Linked DNA regions of Ovis aries. The protein of the gene in region 1 purifies or fractionates together with the protein of each later gene. This does not show direct contact. Links are inferred from orthologs where the notes say so. Each region holds a gene or a part of one and is shown in the gene's direction. Other genes may lie near its edges. The genes, in order: DNAAF10 and CCT3.

What was found.
Region 2: the proteins of DNAAF10 (region 1) and CCT3 purify together in Homo sapiens (affinity purification with mass spectrometry; 3 studies listed by BioGRID and IntAct, counting the BioPlex papers as one, with this or other methods). This does not show direct contact. The link is inferred for Ovis aries from reciprocal best matches to the Homo sapiens genes DNAAF10 and CCT3.

The regions. Positions count from the first base shown.
Region 1 is NC_056056.1:40,186,119-40,189,936, forward strand, and holds part of DNAAF10 (dynein axonemal assembly factor 10), read left to right. Parts: intron 1-305; coding exon 306-407; intron 408-2,576; coding exon 2,577-2,692; intron 2,693-3,397; coding exon 3,398-3,532; intron 3,533-3,818. UniProt on the Homo sapiens protein: Key assembly factor specifically required for the stability of axonemal dynein heavy chains in cytoplasm.
Region 2 is NC_056054.1:106,316,152-106,320,461, reverse strand, and holds the start of CCT3 (T-complex protein 1 subunit gamma), read left to right. Parts: upstream 1-1,466; 5' UTR 1,467-1,531; coding exon 1,532-1,562; intron 1,563-3,549; coding exon 3,550-3,611; intron 3,612-4,288; coding exon 4,289-4,310. Other genes in the region: TSACC (TSSK6-activating co-chaperone protein), read right to left, coding at 219-255. UniProt on the Homo sapiens protein: Component of the chaperonin-containing T-complex (TRiC), a molecular chaperone complex that assists the folding of actin, tubulin and other proteins upon ATP hydrolysis.

The DNA.
Region 1 (3,818 bases):
GGTTTAACTTACGTAACATTTGTGTTTGCCTTATCAGTCATACCTTGTTGACAACTTAAGAACAGTTGTTGGCTTTGTTGTGTATCTGCTAGTTGGAAATCAAGTCAGACGGTATAACATGTGGGTTATAGCTCTTATATTAAGTACAACTTGCCCAATAACAAGTCAGAAAAACATGACTGTTTTTCAGATATTGTAACAGCTATAATATCTCCATGTACATAGGAAGCCATGTGAAGAGAATGCAGAAAGAAATGCCATCATTCACTGTTAAATTTTGCCAACTCCTGTTTTTTTTCTGTCAGGAACCGTAAAGGTGTGGGACCCACGGCAGAAAGATGATCCTGTTGCTAATATGGAACCCGTGCAGGGAGAAAACAAGAGAGACTGCTGGACTGTGGCATTTGGTAAATTACCGATGGACTCTTACACCTGAAATGCCAGATTATAAAAAGCACAGTGCTTCAGGAAAGTCCTGATAGTTTAGAATCTCTTCTGTACATTATTCTGGCAGTTTATCGAGGCAGATAGACATGGTGATTGGGCCTGGGTTTGAATTCTCACTGTGCTACTTAACTGGCTTTGTAACCTGGGGCAAGTTATTAGGCTTCTCTGATTTTTGCTTGGTTCATTTATAAAATGAAAGTCATAATAGAATTTACTTAATAGTTTTGTTATGAGGATTCAGAGTTAATACACGTAAAATGCTTAGACTTGTGCTTAGATATCAAGTGTTCAAAAATATGGAGTATTATTATTTATTTTTGTTTAACCTGGTGATATTGACCTAGTTTAGAACCCAATGCCATTAGTGAAATTAAGTAGAGCCTTAGATGGTAACCTAACCAGTCTCACATTATGCTCTACACGGTGTGTGTTTATTTTCTAAAAATAGTTATACTATTATAAAATTATATCTTACGAATTTTATAACCATGTTCCTCTATTAATATACTTTTAAAACTAAATTACCACTGAAATTGGGAGATTTCTATGTGTATATATTATAATTACTATGTGTGTATGTATAAGTAATGATATAAGCCAAAAACATGTACACTTGGGAAGAAATTTCAGAATTAGTGTTTAGAATCATCATGTAAAATTTATGAAATAATTAAAAAATAATTAACTTTGGGCCCATTAAAGGCTTTTTAATCATTGTTCTAAGGGATGTAAGTGCAGTTTTAAATATAGGACATTAAAGAAAGGACATTTATCGGAAGCAGATTCTTATTTTAAATTAAAGAAGCTGGTAACTTTAATAAAAAGTGCTACAAGTATAAAAGGTGCTCTAATGTATAAAAAGTGATACATTAATTGTATTACTCCTACAAGGTCAGAGTGATGAAAGGTCACAGAGGCATGGGTCAACACAGAAGGAATCCCAAGGCAGCCAAAAGAACATATTGACCTCAGTCCAAGGATTTGTAGGATTTGAAACACTGAAATGGGGAGATTTCGAGTATGTAGAAGGAATGGAGGTAGGACTAGCCTTAAAGGTGGCACGTGGCCACAGCCAGAGGCGTTTAGATGGTCTGGAGGTAGTGGTAAACCTTCGCAGGCTTCTGCAAGGAGGAGATATGATCAGAGCTTTAGCTTTACACTGTGGCCGGGTAGGCGGGAGGAGTGGCAGAGGAAGTGTGAGTTCTGAAGCTCTTTGCAGTATTCCAGGAAACATGTAGGGTTAAGAAGCAGTGAGAATGGAACAGAGGAGTGAATTCAGAAATAATGTGGCAAAGAAAAAGAAAAAGAAATAATGTGGCAAAATAAATACACTTTGGCAATTTTTTTGGAGATGAAGAACAAGGGAAAGGATTATGTCCAAAGTGACTGAATTTTGAGGTTGACTATGAAGTGAATGATGTTTATTGAAGGAGTTCCACAGAGTGTATGATAGTTTTTAAAGGAAGACGATGACATCAGTTTTAGACATCAGAGGTTTCAGCTGCTGTCATGTCATCTCAGTGAACCCTCCAGTGGAAATGCAGGGCTGGAGTTTATAAGAAGAGGGAGTAATCCAAAAAAATTCCTGGATCCGAGCAAGGTGAATTCAACTGCAGGTTGTAGATTTACTTCAATTGTGAGCATCAGATAACACCAGAACAACATTTTGCAAAATAAATAAGTTTAAAGTAGTTTCCATTTGCATGCAAAGAAAGCATTGGAAGTGTAACTGTATTTATTCTACCGAACCCTGCTATGTTAAATTGTTAGTCTTTGCAAATAGAGTATAGAAAGAATATTTGGTTTCAATTTAAAATCCAGTAAACACTTTCTTTCATATATCTCTTGAGCACAGAATCTCAATAAAGAGTTTTTTTGGTAAACAATATCAGAGACTAAATTAATAATCTTGATGTCCTGTAGGATTAGTAAAATGAGATTCTATCCAATGTGACTTCTTCACTTGATTTGGTACAAGTTACCTGTGTAGTTCTGTAAGATTATTGTTTTGTTTTTTATTGGAGTATAGTTGATTTACAATGTTGTTAGTCTCGGATGTCCATAAGTTTTTTAAGCAGCCTTCAAATCAGCATTTAAAAAGATCTGAAATGTCATGTCCTGATTTCCAGGCAATGCTTATAATCAAGAGGAACGTGTCGTGTGTGCTGGCTATGACAACGGAGACATCAAGCTGTTTGATCTCAGAAATATGTCCTTACGGTGGGAGACAAATATAAAAAATGGGGTAATCTGCATTTGCATTCTTTGCAGTTTCTCTGAATGTCTTTTCCACGTACCTCTGAACTACAAAAGGAAAGCACCCCTAATAACTCGTCTCAGTAAAACCCCTTTATGGATGGATGGTTCTTAACCTTTAGGGTCTGTGAAGTCCTTTGAGGATCTGATTAAAAATCAGGGACACTCTTCAGAAGGAGAACACACAGCCAGGTGTGGTGTGACAGTGCCTGGTGGGTCACCGCCCCTGTAGCCCATCTCTAGATGCCTGTGGGCTATGCAGTGTGATGTTAAAGTGAGCTGGTACCAGGCCCTTTTCTGGTAATATCAGGAAGACCAAGACTGTAATTGACTCCCAGGTACTCACAGGTTTTTTGGTTCCCGGGTTGTACATCTTTAGTGAAGAATGTGGTTCCTTCCTGTTTCCTCTAGTCAGCCTTGACTTGACTTTATAAAATCATTATGTAATAATGGTAAAATGTTAAAGTATGGCTTTCCAAATGTACCTCAGTGCCTGAGATGATTTTGGGACCTTACTAACCGAGAAGAAAATTTTCTAGTTACAAGTATTCGGTATACAGATTCAAAAGATAAAATGATTTTTTTTAAAGTGCTTTCACATAATCCAATAATGTTACAGTTGTTTTACTTGGTTTGAAAGAAACTCTTGGATATAATGATTGGAGCATCACTCATAAATATTCTCTATTTTCAGGTGTGTAGCTTGGAGTTTGACAGAAAAGACATAAGTATGAATAAGTTAGTAGCTACATCTCTGGAAGGAAAGTTTCATGTTTTTGACATGAGAACACAGCATCCAACCAAAGGTTTTGCTTCTGTTTCAGAAAAGGTAAAGATGAGGGAAATATCTTTCTATGAAGAGGAATGTTCATATTAATAGCTTGCTTTAGACTAATAAATAGAATGAGTCACCAGGTTCCTTCCAGGTTTTTTGCATGAAGGGAGCTATTTTTAATATATTCTTATAGGATCTTGATAAGTTATTCTGTGCAAAGAATACTTTCCTAAAGTTTGTCAGTTTCATATTTCTTGATTATATTAATAATAAAGGCCTTCATTGGTAATGACTATTATTTTGTAGTTTAAGAGCAATCACAAGGAGACTAGCTGGTTTA
Region 2 (4,310 bases), on another chromosome or scaffold:
ACTTATAATTACTGAGTATCTACTATTTAATAGCTCCGGTTCTAGGCACTAGGAATACAAGAACGTTCCATTTAGTGGGAAACGCGTAACAAATACAAATACTTTCCGACTAAGTAATAGGAAAAAACCATACATACAACTAGCTTCATTTTCCCCAAAGCTGGGCAATTAAGAAGGTCTGGTTTTAAGGGAGAGGAAGCAGGGCATCTGACACACACCTCTTTTGTTAGTAGGATGACTAGGAAGCTGCTCCATCTGAACATCCACAGGTGTGGTGCCTGGGGAAAAAAAATCATAGTATCTCATGACTGACAACCCATCTTACTGTTTCACTATTAACAATTTCTCAAGTTCTCCCCAGTAGAGCTCAGGCTGTTCCAATTTGGAGAGGAAAAAGTGTGAAAGGATGTACTGTCTTAGTTTATGGCTAAATAGAAGTAACTGTTTTTGAATTGTTTTTGGTCTCACGGCCCTTCCTTTAGTTTGGAAAACAGCTATTTCCTTTTTTTTCTGGACAAAAGAGTACTTTAACCACGCCTAAACCTTAAGAGTCTCCTATGAACGGGCAAATATTCTGTGTTCTCTCGTTTTAATTTCTGTAGTATCAGTCCTTTTCCTATTCTGTAGGGTTATTTTAAAACTCTTGCTCTCCAGCATCTCCAATGAACCTGCAGCTGAGGCGATGAGGAGGGCACGGGAGGGAATGGGCGTGGAGAAAGAAAATCTTGAGAGCACTACAGGAAACACTTGTTTTGAATAGGACAACTCGGGGAAAAACTTAAGCCATCACCTCCTGGTACCGCTGACAGCCTCAGAATAAAGCATCTGCCTAAGAAAGGGAAAGTCCACGCAGAGCAACGAGTCAGAGATAATAAACCACAATTCCCAGCGCGCCGGGAAGAACAGTCACCGCTCAGCCCAGTCGGATTGGACTACAACTCCCATTTCACCCGGCATCAAACCGGCCAGGTCTTCTCTCGACAGCCGGTTTAGGTCCCGCCCCTCTATGCCTCCCCGTTGCTAAGGCTGGAATGAAAGCGTGGAACTGCCACGCCTTTCTTGACCTTCGCGGCCCGAGAGAAGCCTAGACGCCAGAGTTTAATGACCTCACCTGCGGTGTTAATCGAAAGCCTCAGCCCCAGCACCCACCCTTGTAGTTGATACACATGCGCAGTGGCGTGCCGGCCAACTGCCGGAGCCTCGGCGCTTGCGCTGAGGTTCGCGCCGCACGCGGCCGGGAGCGGCCACCCTATTGCGCAAGCGCCTGTGCCCTCGCATTTCTATCATCGTGCTTTCTCTATCTAACTTGCCCTGCGTTCTTACGCAGGGGGTGGGGCTAAGAATGTCAATTGGTGTGTTTTCGTGCCGGTCAGTAAGATGCATGCAGTGATTGGTGGTGACTCAGAGAGTAGCGGGTTTAGGTGTGAGCCCAGAGGAGGCAGCGTTTTCTGGTCTTCTCTCTGGTTCTCTCTCTCCAGAAGGTTCTGCCGGTTCCCCCAGCTCTGGGTACCCGGCTCTGCATCGCGCCGCCATGATGGGTCATCGTCCGGTGCTCGTGCTTAGTGAGTTGTGGGGAAGGATGGGAAGGGACTCCCCTCGCCGCAGCCCCCCTTTCCGCACTTTACAGCCTTGCCCCAGCCCAGTCGCACCCTGGTTCGGCCACGGAGCCTTCCAGTCGTTCATTTTGAAAGCCCCTTCTCCCGTCTCCCCCTTTTCTTAACCCATTCCCCTGTCTTCCGCAGACGCAAATTGACCTTACCCTCGCCGAACGCGAGGGTTTGTCTTTCCAGGCAAGTGACCTCGGAGAGATGCTTCCCACTCTGCGTTCCGTTCTTCACTCCCAATCCTTGCCCCTGCACGTTTTTCCTTGAGCGATTTTCAGTGTGTAGCTGAATGAATAAATGTTTTTTAATTTGACCTAGCTTTATAATCTTGGTCTATCCTTTAATAGTGGTGTGGCTCCGGCCAAATAAAAATCGAAATAGTTCTATCTTAATTATTAGGGTTAACAGTATTTCCTCGTAGAATTGTGAGGCTTAAATGAGATAAGTAGATACAATTGTTTAAAAGAGGGTCTGGCAAACAGCGAGTTTCCTTGGCCATTTTTTTTTTTTTGATAACTGTTTTGAATTTCCTTTTGTCAACCCCTGTTCCTGATGTAACCCTGCCTCTCTCACTGATCATATTATATTAGATGTAATTATCCCTGCAAATGTCTGCTCCGTTGTAATCTTTCCCACTTTAAGAACTGAGTTTTCCCGATTTCTTAATTGGTTCTTTTTACCTTCGGGAACATCCCAGATTTCAAGTCCCATTTCACTTGTCTTCCCCTGGTATGTTTCTATCCTGTGTAACTTCTGTACCTCATCCTGCATGATCACTTGACATGCTTGACTAGCCATTTTGCCTTTCTCACCATCTCATCTTCTGTGTAAAGAATGCTATTCCGAGATTTTATCTATTTTCTCTACACCTGGAAAATAGTTATTTTAAGACAAGCATTCGCTTAACCCAGGGGGAAAAAAAAAAACAAACTATTTTTTCTGATGAATGCATCAGAAAGATCCATGCAGGATTTTAGTTAACACTGCTTGAAATAGGGATCTAAATCCAGAGAGTTGTGTTTAGATTTGATGGGACCAGATCGAAAATTTTACAACAACTTGTAGGGAAAACATAGTTTGGAGAAAGGAGTGAGAAAAACAATACATTGGTTCAGTTAGGGCCATTGGCTTTTCTCTCATTGAAAGGGCCCTAGGGTGAGTTAGTGGTGCATTGTGCAACCTTTCTGAGGTCCCTGTTAATCCTTGGCATTAGCAGCTGTAACTGATTCTGCTCCCTGTTAAAGTATATAGTACACTGTTACTGGTGGGAAGTTGGTACCCGAGGCATTCTGATTATATCCAAGCATGAAGTGACCATATCTTGCAAACCCCAATACTTTTGAGTGTGTGTTCTCATTCCACAGCACACTGGGGGTCACTGTCAATAATTTATGCTGGGACTGTGGGTATGGTTCACCATATCCTAGTATGAGAATGCAAACTCCCAAACTCTCCCTTGTTATATAAAGGAGAGATTCATGCTTTTTTAGGGACACCAGCCCTTTGAGAATCCAATACATGAGTATAAATACACGAGTGTTTGGTTAGAGGGAAAGTGATGACCAAGATTCCACAGTTGAAGCTGTGTGGATTGTTTCTTATTATATCAGGAATTGAAGTAAATAAGTAAGTAGCCATAAGTATGTGTGCTTATTTTTTAATAGTTTGTTGAGATATAATTGATTTAAAGAGTACAAGTCGATAAGCTTTAATCAGTGTATACATCCATGAAACCTGGGTGTGTGCTTATTTTCAAAGATTAGGGAGTAGCTTATATACAGTGGAGCAATACTGGTCTGTCGCCTTTTTTTTTTTTTTTAAGGATAATTGCTTTACAGAATTTTGTTGTTTTCTGTTGAACCTCAACTTGAATCAACCATAGGTATACATATATCCCCTCCCTTTTGAATCTCCCTCCCATGCCTTTTGTTTTTATCTGTTTTAGGCCAGAACACAAAGCGTGAATCTGGAAGAAAAGTGCAATCTGGAAACATCAATGCTGCCAAGGTAGCATGCGTTGTTTATAATAGTTTGCCTGTATTTGTGTTTGTGTGTTTGTTTGTGATCTAATGGAAGAAAATTTGATTTCCTTTCCTTCAAGACATTTCCCTTTTGGTGGTAAGGAGGAAGAAGCCTTCCCTCTCTGAGATGTGTCTAATGGCCTTCTCATATTGTGCATATTATATTGCGTGTTTGTGTCTGTCTCCCATACTAGACTGAGTTACTTGGATACAAGAACTATATTAATTCCCTTTTGTATTCCTAGTACTCACTGTGGATCCTGGATAGGTATATTCAGTAAATACCTTTTGAATGAAAGAATGAAACAGCCCTGGATATAATCTAGCATGGGGTGGAACCACTCTCATGGAAGGAAGTACAGATATGTGGACTCTCAGTTACCTGTGAGCTGCTGGGAAACTGTAGCTGTGAGAGCTGTGTCCCTTTTTTTCCTTTTGAAAAGTTATTCCTTTGCACATCCAGAAAACATTCCCAAAGGGGGAAAGACAACAGAATCTAGCCATATGACACCCTATATTGAAAGTTAGTTGCCAACCCTACTACTTTAGAAGTGTCCTTGTTAAAACACTGGCTCTGTGGGTTGCCCATGCCCCTTCCCCTGAAACGCACAATCACCAGCCTCTGGTTTGTGCTTAACACGTTTTGTATTTTCTTTCCAATAGACTATCGCAGATATCATCCGAA